Neodiprion lecontei: one gene and its partners. The main gene of each other region encodes a partner of the protein of the gene in region 2 in a complex. Links are inferred from orthologs where the notes say so. Each region holds a gene or a part of one and is shown on either strand. Other genes may lie near its edges.

What was found. Proteins that work in one complex are often made in the same cells at the same time.
Region 1: mediator of RNA polymerase II transcription subunit 24 (region 2) and mediator of RNA polymerase II transcription subunit 21 share a complex: the UniProt entries of both Drosophila melanogaster proteins name them as parts of the mediator complex. The link is inferred for Neodiprion lecontei from reciprocal best matches to the Drosophila melanogaster genes MED24 and MED21.
Region 3: mediator of RNA polymerase II transcription subunit 24 (region 2) and mediator of RNA polymerase II transcription subunit 8 share a complex: the UniProt entries of both Drosophila melanogaster proteins name them as parts of the mediator complex. The link is inferred for Neodiprion lecontei from reciprocal best matches to the Drosophila melanogaster genes MED24 and MED8.

The regions. Positions count from the first base shown.
Region 1 is NC_060262.1:34,977,823-34,983,889, reverse strand, and holds mediator of RNA polymerase II transcription subunit 21, read right to left. Parts: upstream 2,655-6,067; 5' UTR 2,566-2,654; intron 2,463-2,565; 5' UTR 2,433-2,462; coding exon 2,391-2,432; intron 2,323-2,390; coding exon 2,211-2,322; intron 2,143-2,210; coding exon 1,757-2,142; 3' UTR 1,686-1,756; downstream 1-1,685. Other genes in the region: histone-lysine N-methyltransferase SETD1, read left to right, coding at 1-341, 411-632, 733-990, 1,162-1,335; uncharacterized protein LOC107218980, read left to right, coding at 4,386-4,664, 4,945-5,131, 5,267-5,427, 5,571-5,752. UniProt on the Drosophila melanogaster protein: Component of the Mediator complex, a coactivator involved in the regulated transcription of nearly all RNA polymerase II-dependent genes.
Region 2 is NC_060263.1:14,885,208-14,895,248, forward strand, and holds mediator of RNA polymerase II transcription subunit 24, read right to left. Parts: upstream 6,811-10,041; 5' UTR 6,693-6,810; exon of another isoform or gene 6,606-6,692; 5' UTR 6,462-6,605; coding exon 6,330-6,461; intron 6,255-6,329; coding exon 6,129-6,254; intron 6,048-6,128; coding exon 5,714-6,047; intron 5,629-5,713; coding exon 5,206-5,628; intron 4,966-5,205; coding exon 4,782-4,965; intron 4,462-4,781; coding exon 4,086-4,461; intron 4,005-4,085; coding exon 3,559-4,004; intron 3,477-3,558; coding exon 3,384-3,476; intron 3,325-3,383; coding exon 3,034-3,324; intron 2,948-3,033; coding exon 2,500-2,947; intron 2,422-2,499; coding exon 2,275-2,421; 3' UTR 1,997-2,274; downstream 1-1,996. Other genes in the region: Parkinson disease protein 7 homolog, read left to right, coding at 472-666, 748-909, 969-1,170, 1,250-1,428, 1,506-1,853; vacuolar protein sorting-associated protein 41 homolog, read left to right, coding at 8,881-8,901, 9,043-9,180, 9,357-9,639, 9,742-9,940. UniProt on the Drosophila melanogaster protein: Component of the Mediator complex, a coactivator involved in the regulated transcription of nearly all RNA polymerase II-dependent genes.
Region 3 is NC_060264.1:26,415,041-26,422,747, forward strand, and holds mediator of RNA polymerase II transcription subunit 8, read right to left. Parts: upstream 4,076-7,707; 5' UTR 3,738-4,075; coding exon 3,573-3,737; intron 3,480-3,572; coding exon 3,234-3,479; intron 2,940-3,233; coding exon 2,931-2,939; intron 2,710-2,930; coding exon 2,539-2,709; intron 2,422-2,538; coding exon 2,313-2,421; intron 2,132-2,312; coding exon 2,052-2,131; 3' UTR 1,686-2,051; downstream 1-1,685. Other genes in the region: nuclear pore membrane glycoprotein 210, read left to right, coding at 43-169, 275-331, 507-703. UniProt on the Drosophila melanogaster protein: Component of the Mediator complex, a coactivator involved in the regulated transcription of nearly all RNA polymerase II-dependent genes.

The DNA of each region.
Region 1 (6,067 bases), on a different chromosome or scaffold from region 2:
ATGAGTTCGCGTATGAACCGTTACCACGAAAGTTCGAGGAACCACTTAAAACGTACAAGGAACGGGATCTAATGAGCGAAATGGGAGTGCTTTATGAATTTCTAACAAAAGGAATAGATGCAGAAGATGTTGAATATTTGAGGAGAAGCTACGAAGCTTTGCTGGCAGATGACAACCAAGGATACTGGCTGAATGACACCCATTGGGTTGACCATCCTGCAACGGATATTCCAAGTCCTGCTAAAAGGAAAAAACGAGACGAGTTACGATTACATTCTACAGGAAGCGCTCGGACAGAAGGCTACTACAAAGTTGATATACGCGAAAAAGCCAAACACAAAGTAAGTTTGTGTTACTATATTTCTTGCAGAGAAAGTTATGTTATCTTTGTTTTATTTTCTCATTTTTAGCATCACTATGCTCAAAGCATACAGCGCAGTAATGACATAGAGGATAGTACTGGACCATATTTGGGTGGTGACGGCACAATGAATGGCCCAAAAACAAAGGCTAAGGCATTAACTGGAAAAATGCAGGCCTTATCACGGGAGGCGAGAAGTAATCAGCGGCGGTTATTAACAGCTTTTGGCATTGACACTGACAGTGATTTACTGAAGTTCAATCAGCTCAAGGTAATATTGATTGGAGTATCATTACATCTGTCAATCAGATTATCATGTATTTTATGTGGAACATTGTGACTCAGTTTTGAATGGCTTTCTTATTACTTAGTTCCGAAAGAAGCAACTGAAATTCGCCAAATCCGGTATTCACGATTGGGGTCTTTTCGCAATGGAACCAATCGCTGCTGATGAAATGGTGATAGAATATGTTGGACAGATGGTGAGACCAGTGGTCGCAGATCTACGTGAAACTCAGTACGAGGCTACAGGCATTGGTAGCTCTTATCTGTTTCGTATTGATCTTGACACTATTATCGATGCGACGAAATGTGGTAACTTGGCAAGATTCATTAATCACAGCTGCAACGTGAGTTCAATTTGTTACTTGAACTATACCTAATTTTTAAGTGTATTCGCTTGAATAGTTGACACTTTATGGATGATTAAGTCTTTAAGACTTTGGAATTCAATTTGCTTTTCTACTATCTTCAGTTCTAAATTATTGCAAAGCAATATAATGGTAAATGATTTGTTACAGCCGAATTGTTATGCTAAAGTAATAACAATTGAAAGCCAGAAGAAGATTGTGATCTACAGCAAGCAACCAATTGGTGTGAACGAAGAAATTACTTATGATTATAAGTTTCCGTTGGAGGATGATAAAATTCCGTGTCTGTGTGGCGCACCCCAATGTCGGGGTACGCTCAATTAATTTCTTGTCACCTTACTGTTCATCCCCCTTCAATCAACCACACCCTTCTCATATTTTTGTAAATAAAGTCCCATGTAAACATTTTATAAAAAGCCAATGGAAAATGGTATGTTTTATTCGAAATTTATTTCTTGTTGCCGAACATTTTGATCATGAAACTCTAGTAAATTATCTAACCATTTTTACCTGAATGAATTTACAGAACTTTATGAACATGTATCTATATTTTTCTTTTCCAATCTTGTGACATTAGTCACCAAGATTTTTTTAGTTAGCGATCTGTTTAATGATACTGCTTCTCTTGAGAGATTTCTCTCTTAAAAGATATGTCTAGAATGAATAAGCTCTGCTTAGGCATTTAGAAAAATGTTTATTTGATAATGGCTAAAGTTTCTTAAATGTAAATCGGACAAAATTCATATCACTGGCTCATAGAGTTCGGCGATGGATCTGGTGGTTGATGTGAATTACTTGAAGGAATTGTATTGATAGTACCAAAGTTTTCCTGTTTAAAATTAATATGAGGATTTAAATTTGTATTGATAATTGTGGGAGCAGCAGGATTTTGCATGTCCAGCTGACTCTGCGCAATGTCTTGGAGGGCTGCTTGAATTCTTTGAAGCAAAGCTTCACCCTGTCTGACAGTTTCTTCTAGCTGTTCCGCAGCATCTTGATTTTCTTGTTCAAGTCTGCTCAGACTAGCTACTTGAAGTTCCTGAGAAGAATCTTCACTCGGAAGGCTTTCTATCAATGTATCAATATCTTTGGCGCATCGGGCGATCAGCGTAGCAAATAGAGTCGCATATTCTAAAAAAGTCAAACCAAAATATGCTTTGTGAACTGAATGATCACAAACAATGATTACTGAAACTCACCTTCCTGTGTCTGATGAGGTTGTGGCGTTCCAATTCTATCAAATCCCGGAAATTTAGTAGGCATAGAATATTGTTGCAAGATCCCAACACTGTTGCAGAAGTGTTCAGCTTGCTGTAAGGATAATAATATCGAATTATCGTGATGAGTTTGCCGGCTAATTGATTTTACGGCAAGCTTACTTGATTTATGGTGTCTTGCAATTGGGTTAGACGATCCGCCATTTTTGCGATGCACCTAATATCAACAACGGACTTTTCCAAACGCAATGGTATTGCCAGAGAGGAAGTACACAAGTTTAATAATCAACCAGATGTAGCAGATGCATATTTTGTTTTTTGAAGTAAATTTACGTACATTATCACATCATATCTCGTTACTCTTGACTTTTGACTATATCAGCTCGTGTTGCGCTGCTGTCACTATCACCATTCTCACGACAATCTGTACGACGCATATATCGATATTATAAGTCACATACTTACCGACGCAGCACCACACTGCCACCATGATCCTGACAGTTTCGTTTTTCGCCTTCCCGCCAGTGCCCAGTGAGAACGCGTTTTCAACGGGTGTCAGATTTGGTTTATTGTTAGAGTTTGGCAGAGAGAGCCTTATGAAACATAATTAAAACAGTAAAACGCATGTACACTGCTTACTACATTTTCGTATTCACTTCTCGTTGGCGTTGATCTAGACTAGGTTTTCACGAGCAGGAAAATACCACGAAGCAATCACAGCATTTTGCTGCCGACTTCTTGACCAATAGGAATGCTAATAAAGCAGTGACGGATCACGTGTACGCGTTGAATACGAATCTTCTATTATCGGCATGCCTCATATGGCGCGATCATGGGTACGATCAAATGTTCAATTTACAACTTGTTTACAGTTTATTAATTGAAATTCTTACTTTATAACCTATAATCGAGTTTCCTGTATATCGAGATATTGATTAGCGTCTTTCAAAAATGAAAATGAGACCACAAGCCCAAATACCAGTTCTTTTGATTTATCGTCGAAGTTTTGCGTGAACATGTAAAACAAAAAATTCCCCATCGTCTTTGACACACTTTGCACTGTAGGAAATAATATATATAGGATAACGAAGCTATCTTTCGAATACATTACAATGTCAATCGTATTAAATGTACATTGTAATATTCAATGGAATACTTCTTAAAATTCTACGTTAAATGTGTGAATACAAGTATATTGAAGCTTTGCAACCGCGTAAGTATAGTAATGCTCGATATGCACGGTATTCAATCGGTGTGAACTCTCCGAGGCGTCGTTGCGTAATGTCCCTTTGACACCCGCTCTCTAGACCCACCGCATTCGATTCGTCACCCGTTTAATCTCAATGTTTATGTCTGGCTCTCGAAATATTATCGGCTTCCCTGCCTCACCGCCGTGGTCCATTGACTTGACGTTGACTTCAGCACGTACACATGTCGATCATATGCGTGCTAACACACGTACGACATTTCGGAACGGATGTATGAAAAATGATATCTGGTGTTCGATTCTCAAAACCAATGATCTCATTCTACTTCTTGTTTTTCTTTTTTTGTTTGTGTATAAAGAAGATTTAAGAAGGTTGAAATCCAAAAAACGCCGACCTTATCTGGATAAAAAAATCTCCATAATCTGGAGCTGATACCGGTGAAGCAATTCGATATACGTATATCCTATTTTTTTATTTCATAACGTCCGTTCCAAAATTAGATATATTCCGCGCGCCTAAACCCAACTCGTTTTACAACGTACCGAAATGTCGTAAAAATATCTAAAAATTTCCAGAAGCATGATTTACACGTTAATATTGTTCTGAATATCGGACACTCCTCAATAACGGACAATATTTCTAGTCCTGAAATTTCACCGTAGAGAAAAACCTCGTTTATCCGAGGTAACGTGGGGAGGAGGTATCTCGGATAAGCGAAAACTGGCATAACACGGAAGAAATGAAAAATGTGAAGATTTGAATGATTTTTTACGAATTTGATATGGTAGAATGAAATTTAAACACAAAGGTACATGAAAGTGAAACTCTAAGGAACGTAGATCAATCTCTGGGGAACAAAGCATTGTTGCTACATATAAGCAACAAAGTAGCAATCGCAAAATACTTCGCACGTACGGCATATGCGTACTGTATTCGATCACACACCTCGATGTTACAGTGTTCGAATAAGTCCGTTGCCTCATATTGTGAAACTTGGTTGATCGAAGGTCGGACAAACCAGGTTTCATTGTACACCATGAATTTCCTCGTAGTCGTTGGCGGAAAAATGATAAATATTCAGTACGATACAGTTCTGAAGGTTCAGTTGCTGTTCCGACGTGAAGGAAACATGAGTGAGAGAAATTTGACTATTTTTATTTGGATTTTTTGGATAATTCTTCGTTTGTGCGTCGATGTAGAATGCGGCAACGAAACCGGACAAAATAACGTATTATTTACATTTTAATTTATAAATTCTATTTACTAAGTTTATATCCAATAGTTGTGTCACAAGATGACAATTTTCAGATGCAGTATAGTTCTCTAGTATTTCTACTTTTCAGTAATTTATCATGATATCGGGTATATAAATTATGGTCAAATCAATTTCATACTGCATCTAATAGGTTGTCAGGGATGTGAAATATTTTTCCGTAATTCGTTTTTGCCAACAGCTGTAACGACCAAATTTATAAATATTTCTGTACAGACGTGATTACTTGTTTTAGACTTGGCGAGAGTGGAACTTCAGTCCACCACATCGTAAGTGTGTGAATCTTAAAATTGACAATCAATTCAGTTTGGCAAAGCCGAGCCTAAATAATCAGTGTGACTATGAATCCAAGACATCTCAGCCACCTAGTTGGCTTCAACACCAACGGTCCACACTATTCCAAGATTTTCCTGATTTTACTGGTAAGACATTTTTTTTAGTAGATAATTGCCACTCGTATTGGCGAATATACGAATTATATCTTGATTAATGATTCACTATTGACATGTTTCATCTCATATAGTGATAAAATTTGTTATTTTTATATTTGTCTTAAGGAATTGATTGGAAGGTATCAAAGCCACGAGAAAATTTCAAACTTACTCTACTAGCGAAACCACATGTGAAGAATAAAAAGGAATGTCCTTGTGATCCTAGAAAAGATTTTAATCTGTTGCAAAATATGCCTAACAAAAAGGACTCATCATTGTCTATAAAAGTGGGTAATTTAGGTTGAGTAGCTGTATATGTAACAGTCGATATTAATTTAAACGCTCATTGTAGACAACAAGTCATTAGTACAAGATCTTAGGTTCTTTGGTTTGTATTTTGTTTTTCTTTCAACATATCTTTCTATTTCAGAAAGGTGTGCCTGCTAATGGTACATTTATCGATATATTTACTGGCTGTTATTATTTTGTCATGACAAATAGAGAAGAAAAAAGTTGGTTGTGGGGTCCATATTTTTACAATACCACGTATCCTGTCCGTGATCCAACCGTGAGATGCCAGTTTGAAAATGTTTCAAATGCGGTTATTGAAACGTGAGCTTCAATTTATCTGTTCAACACCTAACTTTTCAGGTACATGACGTCTTAGTGTTAGAGGGACGGTAAATTTATTTCTTGTGCTGTTTTTTGCGTGGAATTCGTTGGAGATAAAGAGAAAATGATTGAAACAAAAAAAAAAAATTTAACCCTTTTCGAATTTTTTTTTCCGCAACCAAATTGGAGTATCGTCAAATCTTATGAAAATAGATCTTTAGAGTACTATTCAAGCTGAAAAGGATTTTCTTTTTTCGAAAAACATGCTTCAAAAATGGTAAAAATTGTTTTTCTGAGTCTTGTATTTTTTACCAA
Region 2 (10,041 bases):
GTCATCCTGCAATGTGAAAAATACACGTGCAAAATTGATATTTGATAATCGCTTTGCTTTATTCAAAGGCCAAAAATGAAACAAGTGAAAATAGTCGTGTTTACGTATTATTTTGCTGATGCCTTCACTCTGCGATTGGGTAAATTAATTATCTGTTACTTCACTTTTTGTTATTCTATTGATCGTTCATTATTATAAGAGATGTTATTTTATGTATGAAAAATATGAATGAATCAATAAATAAAGGAAAGCTATTCATATCTCGGCAGTCTTCGCTTTAAACACACAGTCAAAATTTTGGTATAGACAGATTATTGTGAAAATTTATATAAACGATGTTATATTCGTATTTCGCATTTACCCAAAAATTATGTCAATGGAAAAAATAACCGGGACTGAGAATTATTGCAAAGAAAAAAATACTGTGTCAAAAAAAAAAAATACAGAGAAGCGAGCAGTCACATAATTTAAATGAATGAACTGAAAGAACTGAAAATCGACAATATGATAAGTGACGAAGAAGTAGAGGTGATTGAGTCGACGGACAACAAGAAGCTTGAATTGGACAATTTCAATGATAATGGAAAGCGTGCGTTGATCATTATGCCTGAAGATGCACAGATTTCTGAAATAGTTCAAATGGCCGATATAATGCGAAGGGCTGGGGTGAGAGACTAACTCTGAATTAAGTGTCGTACTTCTTTACTTTAAAAATATAGCAGACCTTCAATTGGCTATTGATTCCAGATCAGTGTTGTAATCGCAAGTCTGGATGATTCAGACTGCATACGGGGTAACAGTAACATATTCTGTTATGCAGACGCAGCGCTTTCTGATGCCTTGAGAGAACCATCGTTCGACGTGGTTGTTCTACCTGGCGGTTTGTTAGGAGCTAAATCGCTTGGAGAGGTAAGACATAAAATTTTGTAAGATTTGAATGATGTAAACTAGATAATAAATTGCTGCAGTCGGAATTGGTTGGTAAACTGCTGAAAGAATTCGAGGACAGCCACAAGTGGATAGTCGCAATAGGAGATGCTGTGCCGGTGCTGCGTAAGCATTATATAGGTGCTGGAAGAACTTTTACGTGTCATCCGCTGATAAAATACAAAATTGAAGGATCCGAATACATGAAGTACAAATATATCGACGATGACGTACACGTGGATGGTAATAATAAATTGTCATCCACGAATTGTATCAGCAAAAGGGGAAACAAATTGATTAAAATTGGATTATGAATTTTCAGGTAAGATAATTACCTGCAGAGGTGGTCCGAACACGATTCAGTGCGCTCTGAATCTCGTTCATTTAGTCTGCGGTCGTTACATTGCTGAAAATATTGCGGAAAAATTGTCTATCAAATATGACAACGGATACTGCAGAGAGTGTTGTGGAAATTGTAAATACTGCTGTCGTGAAGACAAGGTAGCCAACTAATGAGAAATTATAGAATTGCTATTTCAGAATAATTTTTAACTCATTTAATACGTAACATGATTTAGAAGGAAATTGATCCCAATATTGCGGAACGATTTTCGTGCTCGACTTGCTGCGGGGTGAGTTATTCAGAAATTGTCGAATGGGAGGAATGCAGAGTTCTGTCCAGTATGTTGGAAAAAGAATACATGATAAAATATAAAATTCAACGACAAGAACTTAAGGATAGGGAAGAAGACAGGAGCATAGAGGAGAAAGAATTACAACAACAAATCAAAGAAGATGAAGAAGAATTAAAAAAACGTAGAGAAAAGTGGACGAATATGCCGTGCATGACTCAGGTCTTTGATTTTTCACATCAGTCTATGGTTCAAGCTAAAATGCTGGTGCTTACTTTTTTTTCTCACTTGTAAATATCGCAGGCAGAATATGACAGGTACATGCGAGAGTATGCGGAGAGAGAAGAATCGCGCTACAATGACAGAATGCAGAAAATATACGATAGACTACATATGAGACTTAAGAAATCGAGAAGGCACCAGGACATGATTGATTCTATGAGGAACATGGAACCGAACGAAATGGATGCTGCACTCGCTCAGATAACTTAGTAGAGTTAGCAATTTGTAGGAGGAACAGAAAACAAAGAATTTTATAGGTACTTTAAGTAAGTTTTAAAAAAATTGATTTTTTTTTGGCATCAATTTCTTTGTAATCGAATTACTAGGAAAGTAATTATTTTCGATCGATAGAGACTAAACTTAATTTAAAAAAAAAAAAAAAATAATAATTACAAACGTAACAGGATGTACAGGTCATTTTTGTGCTTATATTCTACTTTACAGGCTTCAGATTTATGTTCCGCAGCATGCATAAATCTCTCGCAGTGGCTTTTCGTCCTGCTGTTGTTTGAATATCGTACAACTTGAGTAATAAATCAGTCGTAAATAACTCGGGCAGCGCTTTGAGCAAACATGGAACCTAAAAGAAGAATATCGTTCGGTTTACGAAATAACTCTGGAAATTAAACTTGGTTCACTTCGTATGACCTATTCTTACCAAAGTTTGCGGCATTCCTTGTAGAACGATTTTTGTCCTGTCCTTGCCGCACTGAACGATGAACCGTAGAAATTGTAGGATGAAATGCGTCTGCTGTGATACTTCGCCATCCTTCCCAGCGAGTAGTGTAAAAGTTTTGAACAACATATTCAGCGCAGTAAGCAATGGCTCTCTTAAGCGAATAGACTTCTGCCCGTTAGGTTGTCCCTGAGCCTGAGGAGAGCTCGTGTCAAATATCGAACTCGAGTCCCCCGTTTCGTTCAGTCTCAATATTTTGTTGGCCGGCACACCGATCGCATCTAATTCTTCGCTGTCTAATTCGCACCTTGCACGCTTACGACTGTTTCCTCTGGGTGGGTTCGAGTTGTTGTACTCCAAGGTTGAATAGATACACGAAACGCACAGCTTCGCCAGTACAGAAGACTGAGGTTCGACTAGCTCCTCTCTCCTGAAATTTGGAATTATTTTACTCCCGCTTTTGTTGGAGTAGTTGAGCAATCGAAAGCCGCAAAATATTTGGCACAAAATTCTCACTGCGATCTATTGTAGAGGTACTGAGGTATGACGTGATGCAGCAGGTCCAAGGTGCAGTTTTCAATGTCCAAGTGAAATACTGCAAACGTCAAATCCACTGCCTGATCCAGTTCCTCTTGGTATCTGTACTTCATTACTTCTTTGACCAAATTCGAAACGAACCACAGCGAACCGCCGGTGTTCAACAAAGATTCTAGCGATTGAGTAGCTTCGATGTTGATCCAACCCCTTTGCTGTATTCCATGCCACACAGTTTCCAACTGCTCAGATATCGGCTGCCGCGATATTATACTAAAATGAAATGATTTAACAAGACCTAGGTTAATAACTAAAAAAATTTTCATAATTACCTGTGCGACATTGAAAGCACCTTTGTCTTGGATTGCGTCGGAGGATGAACGTCGTACTGCATTTTACGTATTATTTGGCACATTAGGCTTGATCTGAAAGAGTTTGATCAATTAGGAAGCGATAATTTAATTTCGAATCACCTTGAGTCGACGTGAATAATCGACGCAATTTTACCTTTCTTTGAAATTATCCTGCATCTCGTCACTGGAAATAGGAGTCAGGAATTGTTGAACCATATTCATGGGCTTCAAGAGCGCATCTTGATGCGTTATGCTGACGTGAGCGCAGAGCCAGGCTGCTGCACATACCGGCAAGCAGCAGGCCGCTGCTCTCAGGCCGTCCAAGGCGCGTTTCACATCGCCAGCTCCGAGTGCTCCACTTTCCCAGGCGCAGAGAAGCTCTTTGACAGCGCCCATGGCCGAGCGACAAGCGATGTGCCATTTCATGTTACTAGACTTAAAGTCTGGATCCGGGGAATTGATTTGGGCAAGTAACGTGTCCACTCGAGCTGCGTCAACGTTTTGGAGCATCCGACGCGGGCATTTGGGCTTGTTTCGTTCTGCCATACACTCTCGGACCCATTGTTCAAAGAACGAATCACCGTCTTCTTCAAGAACCACCTGAATAGCCAACAGGAGAGAGAAATTTGAGACAAAATCAAGAGGATTTGGATTTCAATGTTTTAGTATCAGCAAGCTCACTTCAGATCCGTATGTTTGAACGATAGAGCAGAGCATTAGAAACGAAACATCAAAAAGCATTGCTCTTGTCGCAGCCATTTTCCCTGTCACAGCATCGTTTATTTGTTTACTACATTCGTTGAACTTTATCAGTTTAGAGACGAAGGTTTTCAGTTTTCCCTCGACAGTTGCAACGGCCAAGATTAATTCGAAACTCTTTCCAGTCAGTACCTGGCACAGCATGCTCAGCAGTGCTTCCTGAATTTTCGTATAATCTGTATTGAGAGTCTTCAGAATTCCAGCCAGAGTTGGTTCCGCGCGAATTATTACTTTTGGAATTGATGGCTTGGGAGTTTCTGATGGTTCTAATTTCTGTAATGCTGCAGTTACACCTTCTCTGTAATACAGAACAATAAAGTGAAAATTCCGTCAACCATGGAATGTTGTTTATATTTACATATTTGTATATTTATTTATTTATTTATTTATTTATTCATATTATACGGGATTTTGGCCCACTTATAAAATTTTAGCAGTAGAGAAATAGGTGACGCCGACAAGCGCAAGTACATAGAATAGAAAAAAAGAAAATAAGAGTAATAGAAACACCAGTATGCAGAAAAGTACGATAACAGCATAATATTAAGCCAAAGCTCTATTCGAAAGACAGCACCCTGTCCCTGCAGAGCATTTTGAACCTGTTATAAAAATTATTACCGTTGGCTGCTAAGCTGCTTCGCCTGTTTCTCAGTAACCAAATTGACTTTTTGTAATTCGTTTAGCAGGCACTCGATGCAATTACAGGAACAAGCCGTGTCCATGATATCAAGCAGAGGAGTAAATTGGAGCAGCAATTCAAAGGCGTCCAAGATGTCTTGGGAGTACTCCAACTTCTCTTCACCTATCGAGAGAAATGCGAGTATTATTACCATCAAAATGCAATCCTGTATTATTATACGGTATTGTTCTGAATATAAGCCAAGGAATTTTGTCGTTGATAGCACCTGGCAACATCCTCCTCGTCTTATACATAGACCCATTTTATGTGTGGGTAACTAAGAAAAACACCCTGAAATACTGTCTCGGAATTGGGGTCAGCTTATACTCGGAACAATACGGTATACAGAAAATGCTCTCTCACCGCTGAAAGTCGTTACGTTTAATTCTTTCAAAATGTGTGGTACTTTCAAAAACGTAAAAGCACCCCATAGCGACTCTTTGGAAGTTCCGGTTACGTCGTGCAGACACATGAAGCAGGCGCGAATAATTTCCGAATACAACTTGGCGTTGGAGTATCCCTTGATTCTCTGTATCATCAGGAGCTGATTGACCAGAACTGCGGTTTCGGTGCTTGGATTAAGCAAGACTTGAACAGCGAATAATGGTTGCAAGCAATAAGTGATCGGCTCCTTTTTGTTGTTCTTGGAATGCGAAGCCAATGTTTCTATATCAAGGTTGCAAAGCTGTTTCAACGAGCTCTCAATTGGTACTGCAGACTTTACTGTACTATTCTTCTGAAGAGATTCTATGTCCTGGCACTTTTTCACCACCTCGATATAAAGTTCTGAAAAAAGACAATAATGAAAGTTTTAATTTCTACAGGGTACCAGATATTTCTACACCCAAAATCAAATCTCAATCTGTTCTACCTTTATCATCATGCTTAGCTAGGCACATCATGGCACAGAGGAAGTCGGAGTTAATCATCTGTTTCAGAATGCTCGCCGGTTTATCGATCAAATCCGTGGGATAGGTGAGTGATGGATTATTTTGGGGTATTTTGAGCACGTGGAGATAACACAGCAGCAACCAATGCACTATTGAAAGTACAGAGGCAGCTAATAAATCTTCCTCCGGCTTTCCTCGACAGGTTATACCGACTTGAATTGTTTCAAGAAATTCTAACAGGCTTATGATACAGTGCGGCTTGTGAAATGCACCGTATTTGCTTATCCTTTGTAGAACAGCTGCGTAAGACACTAACTGAAAAATGTGATGTATTATTGTCAGCAGATTTTTGGAATATCACCTTTCGAATTTGAGGAGAAAAAGAAACGGGCAAACCTGCGAGCTCAGCGAATGTTTTAAGTACGATAACACCAGTTGATTTGGTCCGGGGCCCACTAAAGCCTGCTGCAGAATGCAATCTGCCAAATTGTAGACATCTCCGCTTACACCTCTTGGTAAAATCTGATAACAAGTGAAATTTAAGTCAAATGTGAAATTTTCACAGCCGTTTGATTACCAGAATTCAGCGGTACGTACAGTTTTTATATTGATTCCCCATTGTAAGTCGTTCCAACGTTCACGCCAAGCCCTTAATAGCAGAGCCTTGAGGCTGCTAGTCTTGCTTGTAACCTTAGTCTCCATTGTTCTCGTCGATAGAGGATTGCGCATAATTAATCAAAAGGTAAATACAGCCTGTCGAGTTTCGAATTAGTGATACTTTTAGCCTGTCATACGTATTGAGACAGGATCAATACATCGGTTGAGACTATTTCACAGTACCTTAGGCGGGTCAACACGACGTTTCGAAAATTGCTGAAAAATCGACGCCATGCATTGATTCATTTTAACAACATTTAACGCGAATAAACCGTATGTACAATTCTTGAATAATAAAATTACGTATTTGTTGTCGTGATTAGGTTAACCGAAAACTGCGAGACGTCATCGCCATCTTGACATCTTCTGTTAATAACAGTCTCAGACAGCCCCTGACACTCACCACTGCTCGTATACTAAAAAATTGTACGCGTTTTGTCCCCTTTTTTTAGTTCCTCTACGTGGCGCTAGTAGACCTTTGACACGCTCGCTCGCTCGCTGATCGCACGCAAGCTTTTTAGACAACTACTAGCGCCACCAGTGGTGGAGATTGGCGGCAGAATCGAGGGACATTTTGCGAACCACTTTTAGCAGCGTGTGCACGGTCTTACATACAGGTCTGGCAACGAAGCCAATTTTCTACAGAGCGGCGTGGTTCTCTTGCTGTCCGTGGTTTTTAGTGTTTGAAATAGCCATGTCGCAGCGCTGCTATCTAGGGATGTACGTGGGGTAGGGATGGTAGGGATAAAAATGTGCCAATAACAATATTATTATTACGTTGGCGCTGCATTGCGCACGCGTTGATTATCTATCTCTCGATCACAACGCTGGCCTGGCGGCCACAAAGTGAGATACATAACCGGCCGTGAAATGAACCACCCCCATTACCTTCGTTGCCTGTATGTAAGACCGTGAGCGTCTGTCAGGGGGCTGACCGTGGTTTCGCATATATGTATATGGGCATTCGCTCACTCACGCGTTTTTATCACGTTATTGTTGCTAGTAACTAGACCGCAGCGACAACTGGTTGTGCCGCTAGAATCGACCACTCCTAAGATTCATAGACTTAAAAAGATAGACTAAGCGCTCCTGTAAGAGGCACTGACAATTACACATAAAGGACAGAGATATACTGGGAGTACTGCTCTCTCTTTTCAATCGGCGTCATGGCGGGAGACAACGGAGCAGTGGAAGTGGAACAGCTATAGATATAGGTGCATAATTTCGCCTCATTCTCCTCTACCGCCTCGATTCCCGCCACAAATATCGTTAGAGAGGGAAAGGAGTACTCCCGGCATATTTCTGTCCTTTAAATGTTTGCTTCAAGCGGCTCATAAGAGCGCTCAGTCTATCTTTATAAATCTATGGTAAGACCGTGAGCCATATAACAGTATATTATCATACAGCATATACTTGCGTGCATTATTCATGTTTGTCACCTAATAAAAATTATGAACAGCATTTCATATTCAATCACTTAATTTTAATGTTTTTATTAGTATTATTCCTATTTTTAAATTATAACTTCTAATTTATGTTTTATGTACAATATAGGTAATAAAATTTCCATCCTTCCATTTATTTTCGATTTCATTCTTACCACTGAGTAGTAGGAAGGAGACAACACTCTGCAATAAAACTTGTCCCCAGTTTTAAGGTAACGTAAGAGGAATTGTCTAAATGCGATTTGAGCGCCTCTTACGGAAAAAAGTGAAATTTTCGCTATAAAATGTAGAAAAAAGGGCGGCAAGCGAAACCTATAAGCCTTCGTTTTATAAACATACTCCGTAAATTCGTAAAATATGCATCTAAAGTGACTAAAAATCAGTAAAAACCGAGTGATTGCTTTTCTAATCTCAACCGACATTAAATCCAAGGAAAAGGTTTGCAAACGGTGAATCGTAAGATCATATGGGGTTGGGGGTGAGTGCGCTATACGGGCTTACATCACAAGAGGTGCTTAATTAAATCCGTGACATGCTCTAAGGTTGAAGCCACTGGTTGAACTGCAAGATGGCCTTTATATGGTCCAGGCACACGATTGGTTCTTGGAGAGTGTTGCGCAGAAACACCCTTATCTTCTACGTCATAGGGTGCGTTCAAATATTAGCTCTCAGTGCTGTTAACAATTTTTTATCTCTCTTCTGCTGCCGAGTCTGTGGATGGCTCTGCCTCTATTCTAGCGAGATTTCAGCGCTGCCAGTTAATTTCGAAACGCACCCATAGTCGAGAACGTTAAATCGCCTGGGACAATTTTGGAACAGCTTTTACCGTCTGTCGGATCACGTAATCATAGATCTGTCATCAGCGGTCATCCCCCTTCCATCCCTGCTGTGCCTTTTTTTTTTCAAATGACACATCTTCGCGTGCTGTACACACGAAACTCGTATGTGTCACATCCATGTATGCGAAGACCAATATTTTGATTCTCTGGCGTGTTGCTGCTGCTACGTGACTGCGTAAAAAAATTATTTGAAAATTTTAACCACAGATGAATAATAGTGTAAATAATGTAATTATCGTTCCCGATTTACGTAGACGTAATCGATCTTCTCCTATTATTCTATGGACAAACAAAATCCCAATTAACTGTATCGAAATCGAGGGTGGTGAGTTGAAAGTTAAAGCTGAAACTACTTTCCTCTATTTTCAGGATCAAGAACATAATCAAGATGATTCAGATTCTGATGTGGAAGAGGTTGAACCACGATTGAAATACGTCCGAATGAGAAATGATCTTGATAGTATCCTCCAAAATGATGCCGCGAGCTGCATCGCTGTTCACCCAAAGGTGCCATTAACGCCTCTTCTGTCATACCTCATATTCCTCACATGTCCGCTCAGCGATGATTCCTTCTCATTTATCTTCCTCGCATTCGCTTTGTTTCGCACGAAGCAGTAGAATGTGCGAGTACGCATCGAGGTCAGGTTAGGGTACAGAGAGTCCTAACGTACCGCTACTTTCAGTTTCTCTGCCTGGGCTCGCATTGGGGAATGATCCATATATTGGATCACCAAGGAAACAGAATACGATCCAAAACTCTTCAAGCCCATACCGTTGCCGTCAATCAAATATCCATAGATCAGAATGGAGATTTCATTGGATCCTGCAGCGACGATGGAAAGGTTGTTATATATGGTCTATATAGCAAGGAGAATAACCACAACATGAGCATGGAAAGATTGGTCAAAAGTATTGCGCTTGACCCTTATTACTACAAAAATGGAAGCGGTAGAAGATTCCTAACGGGTAATGCAGCATTTCATTTTTATCTGAGTTTTTCAACTTCTTTCAACTCAATCGTTTGACAACATATCTGATGCTGATAGTTCCTACATTGCAAAATTTCAGGTGACAGTAAACTAATTTTATATGAAAAGACATTTTTATCGCGGATCAAACCTACAGTTTTATGTGAAGCTGAAGGTGGTGTACGATCCATATCCTGGGCTGGTCAATTTGTAGCTTGGGCTTCAGATACTGGGGTTAGAATATATGATTTATATGCTAAATGTTCCTTAGGAGTAATACAGTGGACTCGATCCATAGAGTGAGTATTTTTATTTTCAATTTTTTTGTTCACTTGCGTTTGCTTATTGTGCCACTTTAGGTTTTTATGAATTTCATTCTTCTGTGAAATCTCTATGTCAA
Region 3 (7,707 bases), on a different chromosome or scaffold from region 2:
TTTTCAACATATTATCACTACTGTGTTCCTAAACAATTTCAGATACTTGTTCGAGTGTCACAGTATGATCAAGCTGCCCCAGTCAGTGGCATACATTGGTTGGATTATGCTTACTATCATAGATATACATTTGGGACCTTCACTGCTCTTGTAATAACCTTTTTCTACAGTGAGTCTATTTTATTCTTATTTCAAGTAGTAACTTTTCAAGCCAGTTCATGCGAATGTATTATTTTGTTAATCTACATCTTTTCAAATGCATTTATGTTTTCAGTCTATGGAAGTAAAATGATGAGCATCAACATCTCAGTGAAAAATAAATCCATTTTCGGTAACTACCTCAACCGCTGCTTGTAAATCGATTTAAGTATTGTAAGGCAGTCTTATACGTCAATAAAGTTTTAGTTTTTCTGCCTTAATTTACTTAAACTTACAGTTGTTCACAATACTTGTTTTGCGACCCTTGTGCTGCATGGAAAAATTAATTTTTTCTTTTTTTTCAATAGCCGAAAAGTGTCCACCGCCCATAAAGAAAACGTATACGCCAACTTCACCAAGTGGAAACAAAGTTACTAGCACTCCAAGTCCGGGGAGTGCAAACACATCGCTAAGACCTTTCTCAGCGTTTGAACCTGTATATGGAGATCCTCGGGGATTTTACACGCCTAACGCTAGGCGAAATCGATCCCTACTTAGTCCTTAGTTCTAAAGAAAAAAAAAAATAAATAAAAAAAAAAGAAAACTGGTAAGGACATTCTTCAATAATTTTATAGTTTACTGGTTGTTGAGTGGTCAATTTATCAAATGATAGTTCGACAAGACTGACGAACAATGAAACTCAGACTTCATGTGTTATGCAGTGAAATTTTCCGGTAATTGATCACACATGTTAAAAAGTGAAACAATTTGATCTGACACTATTCTCAATTTTGTTTTTTCGCTTTCCTGATCTTGTCTATTAGTGATATCAAGCTATTCTAATTTTCTCACCTGGAACGTTTCTAAAAGATTTTGTCTATATCGAAAATTTTCATTGATGTAATTATTTAATTAACATTGACGCAACTTATGGGTCTGGGTTTCAACTAGTGACAATTGTTGATCAAAAGGTGACGAATATGTGACTTAATTTTATTTATAATAGACTATATTTTCATACGACAATACGCTAGAATATAATGAATGACATTTTGAGCGTCACATTCAAAATGGTTGTTGAACTATACTAAGGTCGTTTTCAAGTACGTTACGTATGTAGATGTACGTATGGTGAAAAGTAATCGAAGTGTAAATACTTTTTGAAATGTTTTTGTATCGTATTTTAAGATATAACTCAGGTTAAAGGATATATATTATTCTTAAGGCGTTGAATAAAAGATCGTACTATAAAGCCTGTTAGATTCTCCTTCCATCTGACAAGTCAATAAAGATAGATATAATATTCTGGTCAATCACTTTGTCATTGAAAAATCTTTATTTTTATCATCGTTCCTAAAATTCCCAGTGTAAAGTTGATTTTAGAATGAACTGATTGTACGCACAAGACGGGTATCCGTGAAAATTATACTTCATTTGCCTTGAATGGAGCAGTTTATTCATCAATAACAAGTTCGGTGTAAAATATTAATGTATTATCTTTTTTCACTTTCGCGAAATGCAGGTGATATTTAAAAATGATGAAATTGAACGTTTTTGGCGCACTTGTGTGTACACCTATATTTTTAATTAGGTAACATGTGAGTCAGTGTACATCGTCTGCAGTCTACAGCGTGAATAATTAAAGTAAAGATGCTCACTGAAACGATACATTTTGTAATATTTGAATTCTGTTGAACTAGAAGGCTGAAACTTTCCATGTAAACGAAATATCAGCTTCAAGACAATTCACATCTTCACTCTATCCTCAATCTTTGAGTCAATTGATAAAACTTTTATAATAGGAAACAAGGATATTTTCACCAAAAACACTATGCAATACTGGATTTCATAGTCTTCCTCATATATATGACATTCAATTGAGAAAAGCGTACAAAAATCTCCCGACTAAACCTCTAGCGTCCATATGGATGAATCTGTGAAGCTGCTTTAATGTTGGTCTTGATTGCGCTTGGAGCTTTTCCCATTTGGCCCACTGCAAAACATTAAATGTACACAGTTCTTGTTAATCAGTGTGGAATTTATCCTTAAAACAATAGCAAACAAGGTAAATTTATTTATCCAAAATACTGTTTCTTTATCAGGATTTGAACTACATTCAACAATTCCAAGAGTAATTTGAAGCGTGCAATAGAAGTAATGTTTATACTGTGCACCTCCTATTTGTCCTTGCCCAGCAGCTTGTGCCTGGCCACCAGATCTCCCAGCCATTATACCCGGTGGTCCTGGACTCACTCTGGACTGAGCCATCGGTCCAGAATCAGACTAAAGAAAACAATTGTTATTAGGGCGAAATATCAGTGACTATGGCATCGCTAACATGATAATAAATAAGTGCCCACTATGGATGAAATAGGTTTGTGATGAGTGATCAGTAATTACCTTAAGGCCTTTACCCATGCCAATTGCAGCAACTAAGGTGTGAGTATCTGCGGAACTGCTAGTTTGTACCTGGGCAGCTCTGGCACCAGCTTCGCCCTCCCATTCTTCTCGGGCCTTGTATGCGATGTCCCATACATGACTAACCACCTTGTTGTACTGTGCTACTTGTTTCTGAAAGTCAATTATGTTACTGTTAGTACCGACGATTTAGCGTCTGCTGGTGGTGAGTTCCAATCGCCAGATAGACCGATTACTTGGAGGACATCGAGCTGATAAAAGGTTGCCAATCACAGCTTGCGTTACCGATTTGATAATCTGCTTTATCGGTGACATCGGTCTAGAGCGAATGGAACAAAAATGAAATCTCTGACCAACTATGGTTAGTGGCTTACATTGGAATCCTACTTGTTGTTTAGTTTGCATATCAACAGAGAAATAGAATAACCTCTGTAGTTTTTGTGGTCAATGTATTATATTCTCGATACAAACTCGTCAAGATAATTTTACGAACTAGCAGCTTCCGAAAGATTCTCAGATTACACAATTGTTTTCATTAATTACACGAATATCAGCAAATATTTTTTCATGTGAAATAGAACTGTGAGCAAGGGGAGCAGAGTGATCGACAAAAGCGCAAAGGAAGTCGAAACAGCAAAGAATTTGCATACATCTGTACTCAGAATGAATAAATTTACCTGTGATGCTTCGAAAGTGAGATTGGAAGCCTTGAGCTCTAGGTGATTCATCTTCTGCTCAGCCATCGGCTCCGGTTTTGTTCTCAAATAGTCTGGTACCAAATCGTGGGCGAATGTTGATATTCTACCTTCTGTCATTCGGAGCAGATCCTCATCCTTTTCCGGACTCAAGAGCAGTGGCAATATCGTGAAATTTCTCATATTTGGTGCCTTATCGTGGCCAAGAATTTTCGAAAGACTCGTCAGCTGCGGATTAACAACGTTTACGATTGTTTATTATTTATTAGTTATTCGTTATCTCGGCTGAAAGTGATCATTGAAATTCAACCAACTACTTACATGACCCGAAATAATAGCGAAGTTATCGAGAAAATTTGGCCAGTTCAGCGTCTCATATTCGTGCTCCAGTTTGTAAAGCATTCCGGCGATTGCAGATTTTAGATCACTTACTCGCAGAATGATCGCCTCCAGAGCAGAGTCCAACTGTTTTTCTTCTCTTTGCATTTCTACAGAGGACTTGAACTTCGATGATCGGATTAATTATTACAATTTACCGCCGCTGTCAGCGTTTAGACGTACGTACCTTGGTCAGAATCATTCGAATCACTGACCTGTACACTAGAATTTCCGGATAGAACAGCTGATCGTGCTTTCGAGATAGTGTCGACATCTATGCTCAAGTAGTCGCAGCGTGGAACTAGATGTCGCTCATGCGTCAAATTTAAAGTTAGTATCTATTAGCTCCTGATTTGTATTTTCTTCTTGAGTGCAAACAACATGATAATCTATCATAAAAGTAGAATTTTCAATTCTCTTACTTATCCAAAGTTTTTTAAACCGGGACTCAGTTTTTCCCGAAGGTATCACTTATTTCAAGTTAATTTTGCGACCATTCATTACAAAAAATGTAAAATCTGTTTACTCTTGTATATCACAATAAATCGTTTTTTTTTTTTTACTTTTAGAGAGCATTGACAATAATACGGAAGAATATAAAAATCTTACAAATCCGTATTATGCTGTTATAGTTCACAGTAATGTAGATGAAACTAAAACATAAGGGTTCATTTAATCTCAAATACAATATTTACTTTGTTTTTATTTTTTAAATCATATATAATCATGGGATAATAATTGTTTCCAATTACAATTGATGCAAATTTGATTAGAATAATGGTAAATTACTTGTGTTCTTGTTATCATTATTATATTATGTAGAACTATTTCAATTAATCTTTCTCTTCGTTTGTATACGCGTATATAGAGTGGTTCTCCCCGTAGAGTTTTTCAGATTAAATATATGTTGATACGCTTTGTAATTACACAAGTGATAAAATATACATAACAATTGTTTACACTGTTGGTCAACTTTGGCTACATATATTGTGTGTATCTACTTACGCGTTTATATGCATGAATTTCGTTTTAAATCGTTATATCTTATGTCAATATCGTCGCATCCTCCCTTGCGACAGACTCGAATTGATATTAAATAGTTACAGGTGTAACGTAAATGGCTGCTTTTTTTCACAGGGTGAATTTTGAAATGCCATCCAGAAATGAATAACTATGTTACGATGATAGTCAAATGAGACTGTTACGAATATCTTTCTGCCAATTAGTATAACCATGGTTATACGTATCATTGATTTCTTTGTGTACTTGAACGAATAATTTAACCACACAATATTATACTTTCACCCAGACGTTGACTATACCAAATTTTACCACACCCCTGCACCTGTAACGAAACAATTATCATTTTATCATCAAACCCGTTTTTACGGCGTACACAAGTAAACCATTATCTATTATTATTATATTCACCAAATCGTACAAAACTTTACATAATATAGGCGCATAAATATTAATTATACTCTCTGATATAACCAGACAACCCACATTGAAATCATTGTTATAACAAATACACTCTTTGAGATTTAATAATCTTTTGCACCCAATTGTCATTTTTTCACCCTCACATAATAATATTTATATAGCACATCCTGTTACCTCGTCCGTCGCTACATACATTAGATATCATAACATAACATACGCTCATATTATAATTATAATTGAAACGACGTAGTTATTACGTTTTCCTCATGGACAGCTTGAATAATATTAATAATGGTAAAAATATCAACCATAATCATGACTACGATAAATAAGCGCAACGAGGCACAAAGTACTAGTCATAGGGGTATGTCGTTTTATTACAAATGTGTATGCTTCGATTTAAAAACAAATCTAAATGGTGTCTTTAGCAGGAGTATACATCAAGCAATTCAACACTAAATAAGATTTGTATAGAATAATTAGTAAAATTTGAATTTCTGAAGCATTCAAATTGGCAATATTGATCAATGGTATACCAGGTAAGGACACATGGCGATTGCAGCGTACCATCGAGTAACTTGGGGGATTACAATTTCGAAATTCTATTATCTTTGTGAGGAAATTCAGAGAAACTTACACATGCATTGTTTAAACTGCGTAACAGAAATAAAAAATCAACAATGGGATTCGAATTCATGATTAGAAATGTATAACGGTTGTTGGACAACAATAGACCGTCTCTTTAATGATCAATGAAGATCTGCACACTTTTTGGTTCATGTGCTCTTGGGTTTCCTTCGTACACGTGTATCTGATTCGAGTATAACGTAAATATACATCGCAATACGAAGAGCACGGCCATAGTTTTTCACTTTCATATAATTTATTACTTCTGTTCAGCCACGCACCCACCACGCTGCACACGTGTCGTTTAAATACGCACAATATTTACATGACGCGCGATGGGTCATGCAAATATTCGCGATACATATCAACACATACATTGTTTACTTTATCATCTATCTAATATTGTGAGATGGCTTATTATACGTATATAATAAATCTATGTGGTTTGTTAATTAGTAATTACTTCACAGCAGTTTAGTTATGTATATTACGAATGATCAATTTGCAGAAATCCAAACGTACAACACACTCGCCAGTTATACACGCGTATACATAGGTATGTACATACATATAGGTATACATACTATATGCATTACAATAATGCACTATTATTACTATTACTACACATACGGGTGCTGTAATAAAAACAAACTTCACGCTATGTATTCTCAGCATTAAAATTTATAATTGTTATTTCCACACGTTTCTGCTTATAATCAAAAAGCACTTTGCTCAACAAATATTCAACACTCGAAGAATCAGATTCCTTTCTATACAGATGTATACATGTACAGGTAGGTATCTAAATACGAATATAATAGGGTTTATAAGAAAATAATCCGTACTATATATTTTTTTTTCCCCTTCAACTACTCACGATGTATCGAAAATCTGAACAATTTCTCGTCAACAAATGATTTTGTTCGGTTTTTATAGAAAGTGTAGCGATGTTTAAAAAAATTTCCTTTACAGTAATGTGTATTATATATGGTATTAGATTGGGAAAAAAAACTACAACAACAAAGTTACAGTCAATTGAAATTTCGACTGCGCCTTACAGTATGAAAAGTTTAATTGTACACTGTAAACAGCATAGTTGACAGGTAGAAGGTGGATCATCAATTTTTTGTGTTTGCTTAAAACACCTTAGTATATAAATATGTGTACACACATCCAATATATGTATGAATCAGAGCAACCGTGTTTGTCATATATTAGAATTTTGTACCATATGCTAAGTGTTATGTAATAATATTTTCTTTGATATTATCCATAGCTTATCATTTTCTCAAAATCACACTCAACTGTATTTATTCTTTACGCATGATGTTTCTAAATATATGTATATACCAGAGTAGACTGATTTAGACCCAAATTAACCACATACATTACTATATTATACCTTGACATATAATATCCATGCGTCTAGTTACTGCAAATTCGAACTTGACATTTTTATCAATTATACTGTGGTAGAACTGCAGATTTATAATCTATATACATATGAAGGTACTTTAGTGTTTAGCAAATACCAAGCAAACAAGTATATTTACGATGTATACACACACCTGCAGATACTAGAGATCAAGATTTAATAAAGTTCTCTGTCATCGATTCTCGACGAAGTCAAAATTTTACAGATAATATAATATATAGATGATAGATGTTGTATTGTATGCACGCATGTATGTATACAGGGTGTCCCTAAATTGCCTCCCACGGACTAGCCAGCATAATACCTCGTTAAAATCCAACCGAGAATTTCTTTTCCGGAAGCTTGTCCGACGCATAGTTTTTGAATTATAAGCAATAGCGCTAGGCCAATCAGAGTGCACCATTTCATCTAGATTTGCCGCCACGGAAATTGCTGTTTTGTTCGCTGGGTGAATTATTATTATTTGTTTACGAATTAAATATCGGCACCTCCCCTCTCTCGCTGCTATACCCCTTCTCGGGCGCTGACCTCGGTATGGTTGCCGGGGCACACGCTGCCGGCCGCACATCCATG